Coturnix japonica: one gene and its partners. The protein of the gene in region 2 purifies or fractionates together with the protein of the main gene of each other region. This does not show direct contact. Links are inferred from orthologs where the notes say so. Each region holds a gene or a part of one and is shown on either strand. Other genes may lie near its edges. The genes, in order: JDP2, JUN and NFE2L2.

What was found.
Region 1: the proteins of JUN (region 2) and JDP2 purify together in Homo sapiens (co-immunoprecipitation; 3 studies listed by BioGRID and IntAct, with this or other methods). This does not show direct contact. The link is inferred for Coturnix japonica from reciprocal best matches to the Homo sapiens genes JUN and JDP2.
Region 3: the proteins of JUN (region 2) and NFE2L2 purify together in Homo sapiens (affinity purification with western blotting; 4 studies listed by BioGRID and IntAct, with this or other methods). This does not show direct contact. The link is inferred for Coturnix japonica from reciprocal best matches to the Homo sapiens genes JUN and NFE2L2.

What each region holds. Positions count from the first base shown.
Region 1 is NC_029520.1:34,697,207-34,700,951, reverse strand, and holds the start of JDP2 (jun dimerization protein 2), read right to left. Parts: upstream 2,453-3,745; 5' UTR 2,351-2,452; intron 1-2,350. UniProt on the Homo sapiens protein: Component of the AP-1 transcription factor that represses transactivation mediated by the Jun family of proteins.
Region 2 is NC_029523.1:23,599,547-23,603,291, reverse strand, and holds JUN (transcription factor AP-1), read left to right. Parts: upstream 1-1,511; 5' UTR 1,512-2,035; coding exon 2,036-2,980; 3' UTR 2,981-3,605; downstream 3,606-3,745. UniProt on the Homo sapiens protein: Transcription factor that recognizes and binds to the AP-1 consensus motif 5'-TGA[GC]TCA-3'.
Region 3 is NC_029522.1:14,053,179-14,056,923, forward strand, and holds the start of NFE2L2 (nuclear factor erythroid 2-related factor 2), read left to right. Parts: upstream 1-1,057; 5' UTR 1,058-1,202; coding exon 1,203-1,232; intron 1,233-1,355; exon of another isoform or gene 1,356-1,473; intron 1,474-3,745.

The DNA of each region.
Region 1 (3,745 bases), on a different chromosome or scaffold from region 2:
CAGGGGCAGCCTGGTACACAGTCTCCTGTCATGCTGCAGCCCCTCCAGCTGCATCACACCACCGGGTCCCACACCTGTCTGATGCAGTGACTTATTCCCATTATGAGTGGAGAAAGCAGTTGTCCTCCTCCTTTCCCAGCATTTCACTCCATCCCTTCTCAGGGTAGTAAAAAGCTATGGATCAGCAGGATGCTATACCCCCACCACTGCAATGCAGTGATTGACTTGGAGCAACCTGTAGCAGCAGGGGGTTGCACAGCACCTAGCGCAGCACGGCTCCTTGCAGCTATTGCAATTAATTACCTGTCTTTGGAGCAGACATTTGTGGCCAACATTCACAGCACCACACTGCACACTGGTGGGCAGTACAGAGCAGGAAGGTGAAAGCTGTCCTATTCCTGCTCAGAGCAGCTGAAATGGAATTAGGGATGAGGGAACACGCTGACCTGAGCCAGGCTGCAGCTCAGACAGAGGTGAACAGCAGATGTGTTGACATCCCCCAAGGCATTCCACAGCCGCATATGGGCAGGATTGGAATCTTTGCAAAGAGACGACTTTCCTCAGGCACAGAACTCCAACCTCAGGGGACAAGGAGGGCTACAAGCCCCAAAAAGCCACGTTCAGAATGCTGACATGGCCAGCTGTATGCTGGTCACTCAGCTACAGCTCGATGCAGTAGCCCTGCTCAGCAGGAGGATCACACAGATCTGCAGCTCCCACTGCACAGCAAACAGCCTGCAGTGCTGGGCTGGTTTCTGGGCAGTCAGTGCAACACAGCAATCCATGCAAGCAGCCCAGACAGACAGCACCAGGCCTGCTGTGCCTGTCCCATACTGGGCTCGCACTGCGGGACACTTGCAGGATGCTACAAACCACAGTTTTCCCTGCCCTGCTGCACAGCCTCCTTAGGGAGAAGAGCTTCTAAGAGCCTCACACACTCGCAGCGCTGCATGCTGCCAAGTACCTGGCCCAGGCCACGCAGCTGAAGCAGCAAATGTCACCATAGTGAAAAAGCACATAGCAGATGCTCAGCACCGCTCAGAACAGCAAAACAGGGCACAGTGCAGCAATGGAGGGCACAGGGAGCAGAGGGAAGATCTGCTCCTCCACAGACAGCAGCACAGCGCAGAGACTGCTGCATCCTGTAGGGAAGGTCACGCTCAGCTGTACAGAGGAGGGAGAAGCATCCACGGTGAGGAGCAGAACATCAACCTGCAGTTAGCGCCCGGCCGACCTCATTACATCCCAGGGACCCAAGGAGCTGACAGCCAGCCACTGGCTGACACAGGGATGCCTTGGACAGCAGCTCCCACCCACACACTCACCCCCACAGAGACAGCTCTCCTCATTTTTGAATCACCAGGAGTCACGCTGAGGATGTGAACTCCAACATACAGCATTCCCAGGTGTCCCCCAAAAGCACTGACCAGCCAGATCCCACTGCAGCTCCGGCAATGGCTTCCACATAGAGTTCTTCACACAAGTCGCCTCAAAACTAGCTAAAAAAAAATCTGTCTGAGCTGCTGGATTTTTGTTTCTGCTGAGCTCCGAGTCCAAACACACACACACACACACACGGTTTGGCAGTGGTTGTGTTCCAGGGCTGGTAACACAAGCCATGAAGCTGGCTGCCAAGACAAGCAACAGAACGAGCCAGGCCCCATTTCATTGGCCACCATACGCTGCATATGGCCCTGGAAGCAGCCAGCACTGTGTTCTCACCCTCCTTGAAGGCATAGGAGACCCTGTGTTTTCAAATACACCTCCACAGGGCCTTCATTAAAGGAAAATGGAAACATAATGGGGCTCTTGCTCTCTTGGTATTTCTCCTTTTCCCCGATTTGCTCTCAAACCTATTTCCGCAGTATGGAAAAAGAGAAATGCCTCCCGGAGCGAAAGAAAGCGACTTCCATTCAACTCCACGCCTGAGCACTACAGCAGACGGCACGGAGCGCAGGGGCTCGCAGGGCCCCACTCCTTCCCCGGGCCCGAGCCGGGCGCGCTGTCCGCACGGCACCGGGGCAGCGCGGAGCCCCACCTGCGGCAGGTGGAGCGCAGCGCGGTGCGGCACCCACCGGCCCCGGGTGCTGCTGCTCGCCGCCCCCGCGGGAGCTCTGCCCCTTCCCGAAGCCAGTCCCCACGCACGACCCGGACGGGCCGACGTGGGGGGTGGACGGCGGCTCCGCTCCGACCCGCACCCGGGGGGAGGGTGGATCCCCGCAGCGCCGCCGGCCCTGCCGTGCCGTGCCGTGCCTCCACCCCGCCCGCGGGCCGCCCCCGGGCTCCGCCGCCCCCCGCCGCCACCCCGGCCCGCCCGGCGACCCCCCGCCCGCGCCGCGCCCGCACCCACCGTGCACGGGGAGCGGGCCGCCGGGGTGCCCGCGGGGCTCGGCCGCAGGGGACGGGCGCGGGCTGCAGGCTCAGCCCCGCCGCCGCCCGGCGCTGCCCCGACCCCCGGGCCCCGCCCGCCGCCGGTGTCGGTCCCGGTGCCGGCCGCCGCAGCCGGGGCGCCTCGTCCCGCCGCCGCCCCCCGCCGCCCCGGTGCGCGCCTCCCGCAGGCTGTGGCGGGCGGCGGGGTGGGTTGCATCAGCCCCGGTTATATAGCGGCCCCGGGCTGCGGGGAGGGGTCGGGAATGCGGAACCGGCTGGGCTGCCAGCGCCACACGTCAGGGAGGGCGGGCGGGGGAGCGGGGCCGCGGGGCGGGGAGCGGCGCGCAGGGGTGGGACCAGCCGGCGGTACCGGCACCCCCGGCCCCACCGCCCCCTGCCCCGCGCTGTGCCCCGGCCCGGTGTGCGCCGCTGTGCGCTGAGCCGGCCGCCCCGAGCCTCGGCCGGGATGGAGGCGAGCCGGGGAGAAGCAGAAGGGCCCGCGGCTCACGGCACCGCTGCTTCGGGCCCCCGGCACCGGCACATCCCGGGGGCCGCTGGCGCTGCAGGCGGATGTCAGGTGGGGACGGGGGAGCAGCCGTGGGACCGGGGCCTTCCCGATAACTCATTTGCATGGATGCCAATCGCTTCCTTCCTCTTTCTCTCACCGCCGGCCCTCCCTCACCTGCACCTGCCAGGCTGCTGGGGAAGCACGGCTCACGCAGAGCCCTGCAGACCCGCTGCAGGAACTGAATGCACCCGTATCGATGCTCTCCCAGAGCAGCTCCGTCTTCCTGCTCCGGGCTCATCGATCATCGCTCCCATTCAGTTCCCACAGAGCTCCTTTCTGGGCACGATCACGCTGCCCATCACTGACAGTCCCCCCTCCATCAGCACATCCCAGTCCCTCCATCTGTGCCCCGGGAACAGCAAACCGGGCGGTGCAGTTGGGTCTGAGCAGGGGACAGAACTGCACAGCGCAGGACAGGTCCAGCTCTCATCTCACACGGGAATTCTCCTCGCTCTCACTGCCGCTTATGGGTTTTGCCTCATGTAAACACAAAACATGTTTGCTTTCCAGATATAGTTTCATTTGGGCATAGGAATTCATTGAGAATTTGCGGTTTCAGTGGGTAAAAGTGAACAGAAGAGCCCCAGACGAGCAGAGTGCTTGCTGAGGGATAGGGAGCGCTGGGCAAGCACAGCCGCCCGACTGGGGCTGCTGAGCTCCACCACTGCCACAGAGATAAATGAAGCACATGGGAACAGCAGCACCTGCAAGGGAGCCACGGGAGCTGGGGAAAGGGTCCATGGCACAAAGTGCAAAAAGCTGTCAGTACCCCCTGCCTGCAGGATGGCCTCCTCCTCCTCCTCGGAG
Region 2 (3,745 bases):
TCATTCTGAGCCCTCCATCTGCCAGTTTTGCTCAGTGTACCTCAACTCCTGTGCCAGGAGTCGGGCTGTGGCCTCTATTTATCTTGTGTGTAAAGCTTAGGATGGAGCTAGGAAGCTGCTTCTAACACAGACGACTTTCAGAGGCTTTCCTATACACATGCAGTAACTGCTGCTGGAGCTACAGAGGCAGCTGGAATTACCTGCACACAGGTGCTCATTGCCTACCTGAAGGCTGTGCACACACCTGCAGCAAACACTAAGGCCCACATTTGTGGGCAAACTAATTCACTTGACTGTTAGCACAAACATGCACAGGTATTGGCTGTGTGATTCCAGCACATGGGTGAAGTGGATACACTGAGTGCAGCCAGGTGTGCACAGCAGGGAGGACCGGGAGATGACTCTATAAAAGGAGCAGTAACTTCTATCAGTCAGTGCATCCAGACATTCACTTTTAATTCACAGCTCTTTTTGATTCTGTTTATTACATTGCTCCCTCCCGTACTTTAAGTGCTAATTATGTTATTACATCTAGAAGAAAAAAAATAGCACTTAAGAGTTTTAAAGTGCATTTTCAAACCGAGACTTAAGTTTGTCAGCTTCGTATGTCACACAAAGCGATGGAGCCCAGCAGCGAAGCAGCAGCGGCAGCACTTGTTGCCCCGGGTTCCCGTCCCGTCCATCAGCCGAGCTGCGAGTCCCCGGTAGCTGTGGAGCAGCACAAACCTCCCTCCCCGACCGGATCCCTCCATCTCCAGCCGTTCCCCTTGGCCAAGCTGCGCTCACACACTAATACCAGCACAGCTCTACAACCGGGAGGACAACTTTAGGAAAACCCATCCAGAGCCAGGCTCCTTCCCGGCAGCTTTTTCCCCTCTCATACTTTGGGGAGCTCCCGGCCCTGGGAACAGACACAGCGCTCACCGCAGCGGCTGAAGGCAGGCGGGGCTGAGGGCAGCCGGGCCGCCCGTCCCCGCCCGCCGGGGCTCCCCGGGACGGGAGGAGACGAGGCCGAGCCGCCCCCACCCCAGCGCCGCCCGCCCTGCGCTGTGCCCCCGTGCGGGGCGGGGGCGGCCCCGGCGCTGTGCGCGCCCGCCCCGGCCCTGCCTGGAAGCGGCGGGGGCAGCGAGGCGGGGAAATCACGTGAGGGCTCCCCCGGAGCGCCACCTTCAGGGCCGTACCAACAACGGGACCGGGGGGGGGGAGGAGGCGGCGATGCGGCGGGACTCAACGCGACGTGGAACGGAGGAGCGCGGCCCGGCCCCGCCGCACGCAGCATCTCGGCCCCGAGCGCAGCACAACGCACGGGCTGAGGGCGCGGGGCGGCTCGGGGCGGCATCGCGGTGCCCCGGTACCCGGTAGGGCAGCGGTTGGTTGGTACGAGGCCGTCGAGCCGCCCAACCCCGCTCGGAGCTCGGGCCGCGGTAACCAGATATTCAAAAACAAGACGTCAGCCCACAATGCCCCGCGCCGCCGGCAGCATTACCTCATCCCACAAGGCCCCGCGCCGGCGCTGAGAAGCTTCTAGGGGCGGGGTGTCCATGGCGACCGGCTGCCATGCACCGCGCCGGGCCAGCGCCACGCCTCCCCCGGGACGGGCGGCGGCAGCCAATGGGGAGCGCGCGGGGTGACATCATGGGCTATTTTTAGCGGGCTCCCGGTCGCTGATAAGTGAAGGGCTGCACGGAGCGAGCGGGCTCAGAGCGGGGCGGGCGGCAGCGAGAATCAGCCGCCACAGCGGGCACGGCCGAGCGGAGCGCGGAGCCGGGAGGTACAAGCGGCAACGGCGGCAGGAGCGGCCCGGCCCGGCACAGCGCGGAGAGGCGGCCCGGGGAGCAGCACAGCGCACAGAGTACAGAGTACAGCGTACAGCGCACAGCGCACAGCGTAGGCCCGGCGGGCCCGGCCCGCGCCGGGAGGAGCGGCGTTGTCCCGGCGAGAAGTAAGGAAGGCTCCGGCTTGCTCTTTCCCCCCAAGCCGCTTGGCCGGGAGCGGTGTGGGGCGGCTCCCGGCGCCACTTTTTGGGCTCTGTTCTATGAGTGCAAAGATGGAGCCTACTTTCTACGAGGATGCACTGAACGCCAGCTTCGCGCCGCCGGAGAGCGGCGGTTATGGATATAATAACGCCAAGGTGCTGAAGCAGAGCATGACGCTGAACCTGTCCGACCCGGCCAGCAGCCTGAAGCCGCACCTGCGGAACAAGAACGCCGACATCCTCACCTCCCCCGACGTGGGGCTGCTGAAATTGGCCTCCCCGGAGCTGGAGCGGCTCATCATCCAGTCCAGCAACGGGTTAATCACCACCACGCCGACCCCGACGCAGTTCCTGTGCCCCAAGAACGTTACCGACGAACAAGAGGGGTTTGCCGAAGGCTTCGTGAGAGCGCTGGCGGAACTGCACAACCAGAACACGCTGCCCAGCGTCACCTCGGCCGCGCAACCTGTTAGCGGTGGCATGGCACCTGTGTCCTCCATGGCCGGCGGCGGCAGCTTCAACACGAGTTTGCACAGCGAGCCCCCGGTGTACGCCAACCTCAGCAACTTCAACCCCAACGCGCTCAATTCCGCACCCAACTACAATGCCAACGGCATGGGCTACGCGCCGCAGCATCACATAAACCCCCAGATGCCAGTGCAGCATCCCAGGCTTCAGGCTCTGAAAGAAGAGCCTCAGACTGTACCTGAAATGCCGGGGGAAACCCCTCCCCTGTCCCCTATTGACATGGAGTCGCAGGAGAGAATCAAAGCCGAGAGAAAACGCATGAGAAACAGAATCGCGGCGTCCAAATGCCGGAAAAGGAAGTTGGAAAGGATTGCCAGGTTGGAAGAAAAAGTGAAAACTTTGAAAGCCCAGAACTCAGAGCTGGCATCCACTGCCAACATGCTCAGAGAACAGGTTGCACAGCTTAAGCAGAAGGTCATGAACCATGTCAACAGCGGGTGCCAGCTAATGCTAACACAACAGTTGCAAACGTTTTGAAGAGACTGACTTCAATAGGAACTGTGATGTTGTGGTATAACTAAACGACAAACCAAAAGCGGCGGACGCGTAAAGCTCACGGTAGAAGCTGGGAGGCTGTGAGTCCTGCCTGCGTGCTGCAAAGCACATGTGTGCAAAGACTGGGCAGCCTTCAGCTCGAGTTGGTGAAGCAGCCGGCACCGCTCCGAGGTGCTGATCCTGCTCCCATGAGGCGACAGATCTTCGTTTAACATTGACCAAGACCTGCATGGACCTAACATTCGATGATCATTCAGTATTAAAGGTTAAACTGCAATAGAAACTGTAGATTGCTTCATGTAGTATTCCTTAAGAAACAAACAAACAAACAAAAAGCGGGAGGGAGGTTTGTGGGAGGCTGATAAACAACCAAGAACTGTTGTTCCTGCCTTCAAGTAAATGGTGTATGTACATATCCTTTTTTATTTTATTTTATGAAAGTTGATTAATGTCAATAAACTACTTCATGACTTTGTAAGTTATTTTTATGTTGTTTATTTGGGTACTGCCCAGTATTGTTTGTAAATAAGAGGCTTTTTTTTAGCACTCTGAGTTTACCATTTGTAATAAAGTATAATTTTTTTAATGTTTCTGTTTCTGGAAAAAATCTAGAAGGTTCTATTATATTTAAAAAAAAATAAAATACTTAAAATGCATTTCCTCCTCACACCTTTTTCATTATTATTATTATTATTATTATTGCTAGTATGTGAGTTAGGAAAATGCCCTTAATGCTGGACTCTAAAG
Region 3 (3,745 bases), on a different chromosome or scaffold from region 2:
AAATATACCTGGATGAATAGCCACACTAAAGCACAAGCCAGGGAATATAAGAGTGAAGAGAATCATAGAATGCCTTAGGTTGGAAAATTCCTGCCAAATCACCCAGTTCAAACCCCTGGCCATGGGCTGAGTTGCCAACTACCAGATCAGGGCCCAGAGCCCCATCCAACCTGGCCTTGAACACCTCCAGGGATGGGGCACCAGCACCTCACGGCCCTCTCAGTAAATAATTTCCTCCAAACACCTGACTGAAATCTCTCCTTTTTTAATTTAAAGGCATTCCTATTTTTCTTATCGCTATCAGATAACGTTAAACGTTAGTCCCTCTCATGCCTAAGGGCTCGCTTTAAGTGCAAGAAAGCCACTAGCAATCGAGTTTTCTTCTAAGGCAGCGCCGTGCCAGCAGAACATCTGACCGAGGAGCATTGCCATCCCATAGGACGGGCACTGCCATGACATCTCCCAAAGCATCACGTGAGATTCGGGTCTGTAAGTCAGCCGGCTGAGACACGCACGCCAACTATTTCGACACCCGTAGTATTAACGGGGGTTACAGTGCAAGAAACCACAGGTACCAGGGAATTACAGTACCCTGGGATGAGAGCCTGATGTAATAGGAAAGCACGTGTGGAGGACGCAACCAGAAAGAGCCTGGAAAGGTGCCTTTAGTGTCAATGTAGCAGACTGCCAGTGGCTCGTAGCCGTGTTTCGGGACCGGACTAATAACGTAGAACACGAAAAGAAGGTGAAACCACACACCTGGGGAACGTACCGAGGCACGGACAGAACAGCCGGCCGAGAGCACTGCTGACAGAACAGCCGGCCGAGAGCACTGCTGACAGAACAGCCGGCCGTGAGCAGTGCTGACAGAACAACCGGCCGTGAACAGTGCTGACAGAACAGCCGGCCGAGAGCAGTGCTGACAGAACAACCGGCCGCTCGCGGTGCCCGGCGCCGTGGGAGGGTCGCGTTCCCGGCACCGCCGCCACTGCCGGGAAAGGAGCCGCCTCCGCGGGCACCGCTGAGTGGCTGCGCCGAGTCGGGGCGGAGCGCGGCGGTCGCCGCTGGCTCGGCCCGGGCCGGGCCGGGCCGTCCCCGTCCCCAAACAGCGGCGGAACGAGAGCGCGGGCGGTGCCGGCCGAGCCGCCACAGCTCCACAGCTCCACGCCGCCGTTCCCGAGTCCGCGCCGCCGCCCCGCGCCATGGAGATCGAGCTGCCGCCCGCCGCACAGGTGAGGGCGCCGCGGGCACCGGGCGGGAACCGGGGCTGCGCGCCCCCGGCTCCCCCTCCCTCTTGTCCCGGCCGTTGGGGCGGGGCGGGCCGGGCGGTCACGAGGCCGGCGGGGCACGTGGTGCCGCCCCGCCCCGGGGGCAGCGCTGAGTCACGGCGGGGGCCGGGCCCCGCCCCCTCGGTACTTTCCCCGTCTCCCGGGCGGGGGGTGCTTCCCTGCCCGCTGCGCAGTTCGGGGCCAGGTCAGTCCGTGGCGAGGGGGGAGCTCGGCCCGGCCCGGCCCCGCCCCGAATACTTGTCCGGTTCCTTCTTGAGGGCCTCCCGCTGTCACGCGGCCTCAGTGGGGGCAGTTGCACAACCGCGTGTTGCCCGTGTCGGGTCGTGGGGTGCGGGGCGAGAAGGGCGCGGGGAGGGTGTGATTCTGTGAGGGGCCGTGGGGGCCGCGATGGAAGGGACCCCGCATCACTTCAGCGTCCTCCTCGGTGTGGGCCGGGGCGACTCTTGTGTCTCCTCCTGTGGGGCCACCTGTCCGCGTTGTGCTGCTCGAGCCCCACAGCCGCGGGTTGTGTCAGATCTGTACTGTAAAGGCGCTGTGTCTTTAGGTAGCTAATGGATTATCTTTTATTGGTTAAATGGAATGCTGGATGGGATTCATTTGGGATGTTGTCTATTACTAATGACACAGGTATCAAAACTGCTGAGGAAAAACGCTCTGGAACGTGAGTCAAAGTGTTTCAAGTCAAGTTCACAAAAGCATTATGTACCCATAATTGTTTACTGCTTCAGTAAGCTGAAAGGTGCTGAAATGGCTGGGCCTGGTGCTTCTAGCCTTGTCAGACAACATGACAAACTCATCAGCTCTCACTAAGCACTGAGCCTTGTGAGAAGGTGAGCAAGATTACTTTCTCATGTAGTGTTTGCACTGAACACTAAAAGTGAAGGCCAGTGTAACCATGTACTTGAGTATCTGCTCAGTGCGTGGGTTTTTCTACCTAGAAAAGAGTTTCTAGTTACATTAGAGGTATCTCTTTAGTCTGTAGGGCTTTACACAGGTATCACATGTCTGTTTTTGTGACGTACTACATAAGGTTGTCTAGTGAATGTCTGTTCCATAATGGGCTGTTCTTTCCATACGACACCGATCATGCAGGAAGTGACAAATGAGTGCACCGCTCAGGCCTGACAACAGGCCTTTGATGTGTTTTTTAGCTCAATAACTGTTAAGCATAAGTGTCTGTAGATAGATTAAGATATCTGTATGGATACCTATTTGTCCATCTATATATGTGGATACGTTTCGGTATCAGAAAACATCTATGTTTTTTGTTGGTCTCTCAGAAGGAACTGAAGGCTGAAGGAGCTGGGTGGTTCAGTGTGGAGAAGGGGAGGCTGAGGGGAGGTCTCACTGCTCCGTACAGCCGCCTGAAAGGTGGTTGCAGTGATAAAGGTGCTGGTCTTCTCTATCAGGTGACAAGAGATAGGATGTGAGGAAACTGCCTCAAGTGGCACTGAAGGAGGCTTAGATTGAATATCAAGAGCATGGAAGGGGTGGTTAGGCATTGGAACAAGCTGCTTGGGGAGGCAGTAGAGTTGCCATTGCTGGAGTTATTTAACAGACCTGTGGATGTGGTTTGGCAATGGACTTTGTGATGTTAGGTGAATGGTTGGACTTGGTCTTAGAGCAATCTTAATGATTCCATGACTCCTAAAATTACAGAGAAGAGTGGTGGAAGTAATAAGAATACTACAAGCACTGTCTTAAGTAGAAATGCATTTTTTAGACCCTTTTAATTCTGATGTGCCTACCCTGCTTATCATGCTGCACTGAAAAATCTTTCCTCAGAACTTCAGAATATCTCTCAGTTAAACCAGTGGTAGATACAATGCAGTGCAGTACCTGTGGCTGAAAGAAATGTAGACTAATAAAAGATGACCATGAGAATCCTTTCAATGCAACAGCTAATTGGATATTTTATTATTGTAGTACATATCTATCGTATGGACGCTGTTCTGTATTTTGTATTTAAAATGTGCTGGGAATTTACATTGCATGAGAAGTTGTTTGAAATACAAGGAGTTGGTTGCATTTGAAAATGGGACTTGAAGAAGCTTGCGGTTAGAACTCAAAGTAGGAGAGCACTTTGGCTTTGGAAGTTGGGGTTTTTGTTTTTGGTTGTTTTTTTGTTTGTTTGGTTTTTTTTTTTTTTTTGGAAAAATATGTGGAAGAGACCAAACTGGGACAAAATAGAACATTCAGTATAAGCAGAGAGCAGCTGGATCATCTCGTGCTTTAAAGAACTTGAGACATTTTTATAGGAGTGTGTGGGTGGTTGGGAAGCTTTGTGTATGTTTCCCACCAGAGTTCATGAGCTAGAATAAAATTTGGCTCTCTGTCCATTACTTTTTTCTTTCTTAAACCGAAAAAAGCAAAGAGAGTATAGCACTTATCCTAAATGACAATACAGAAGGTTATGTATCACCATGACAGCCAAGATCACTGTTAAAATTATCAGA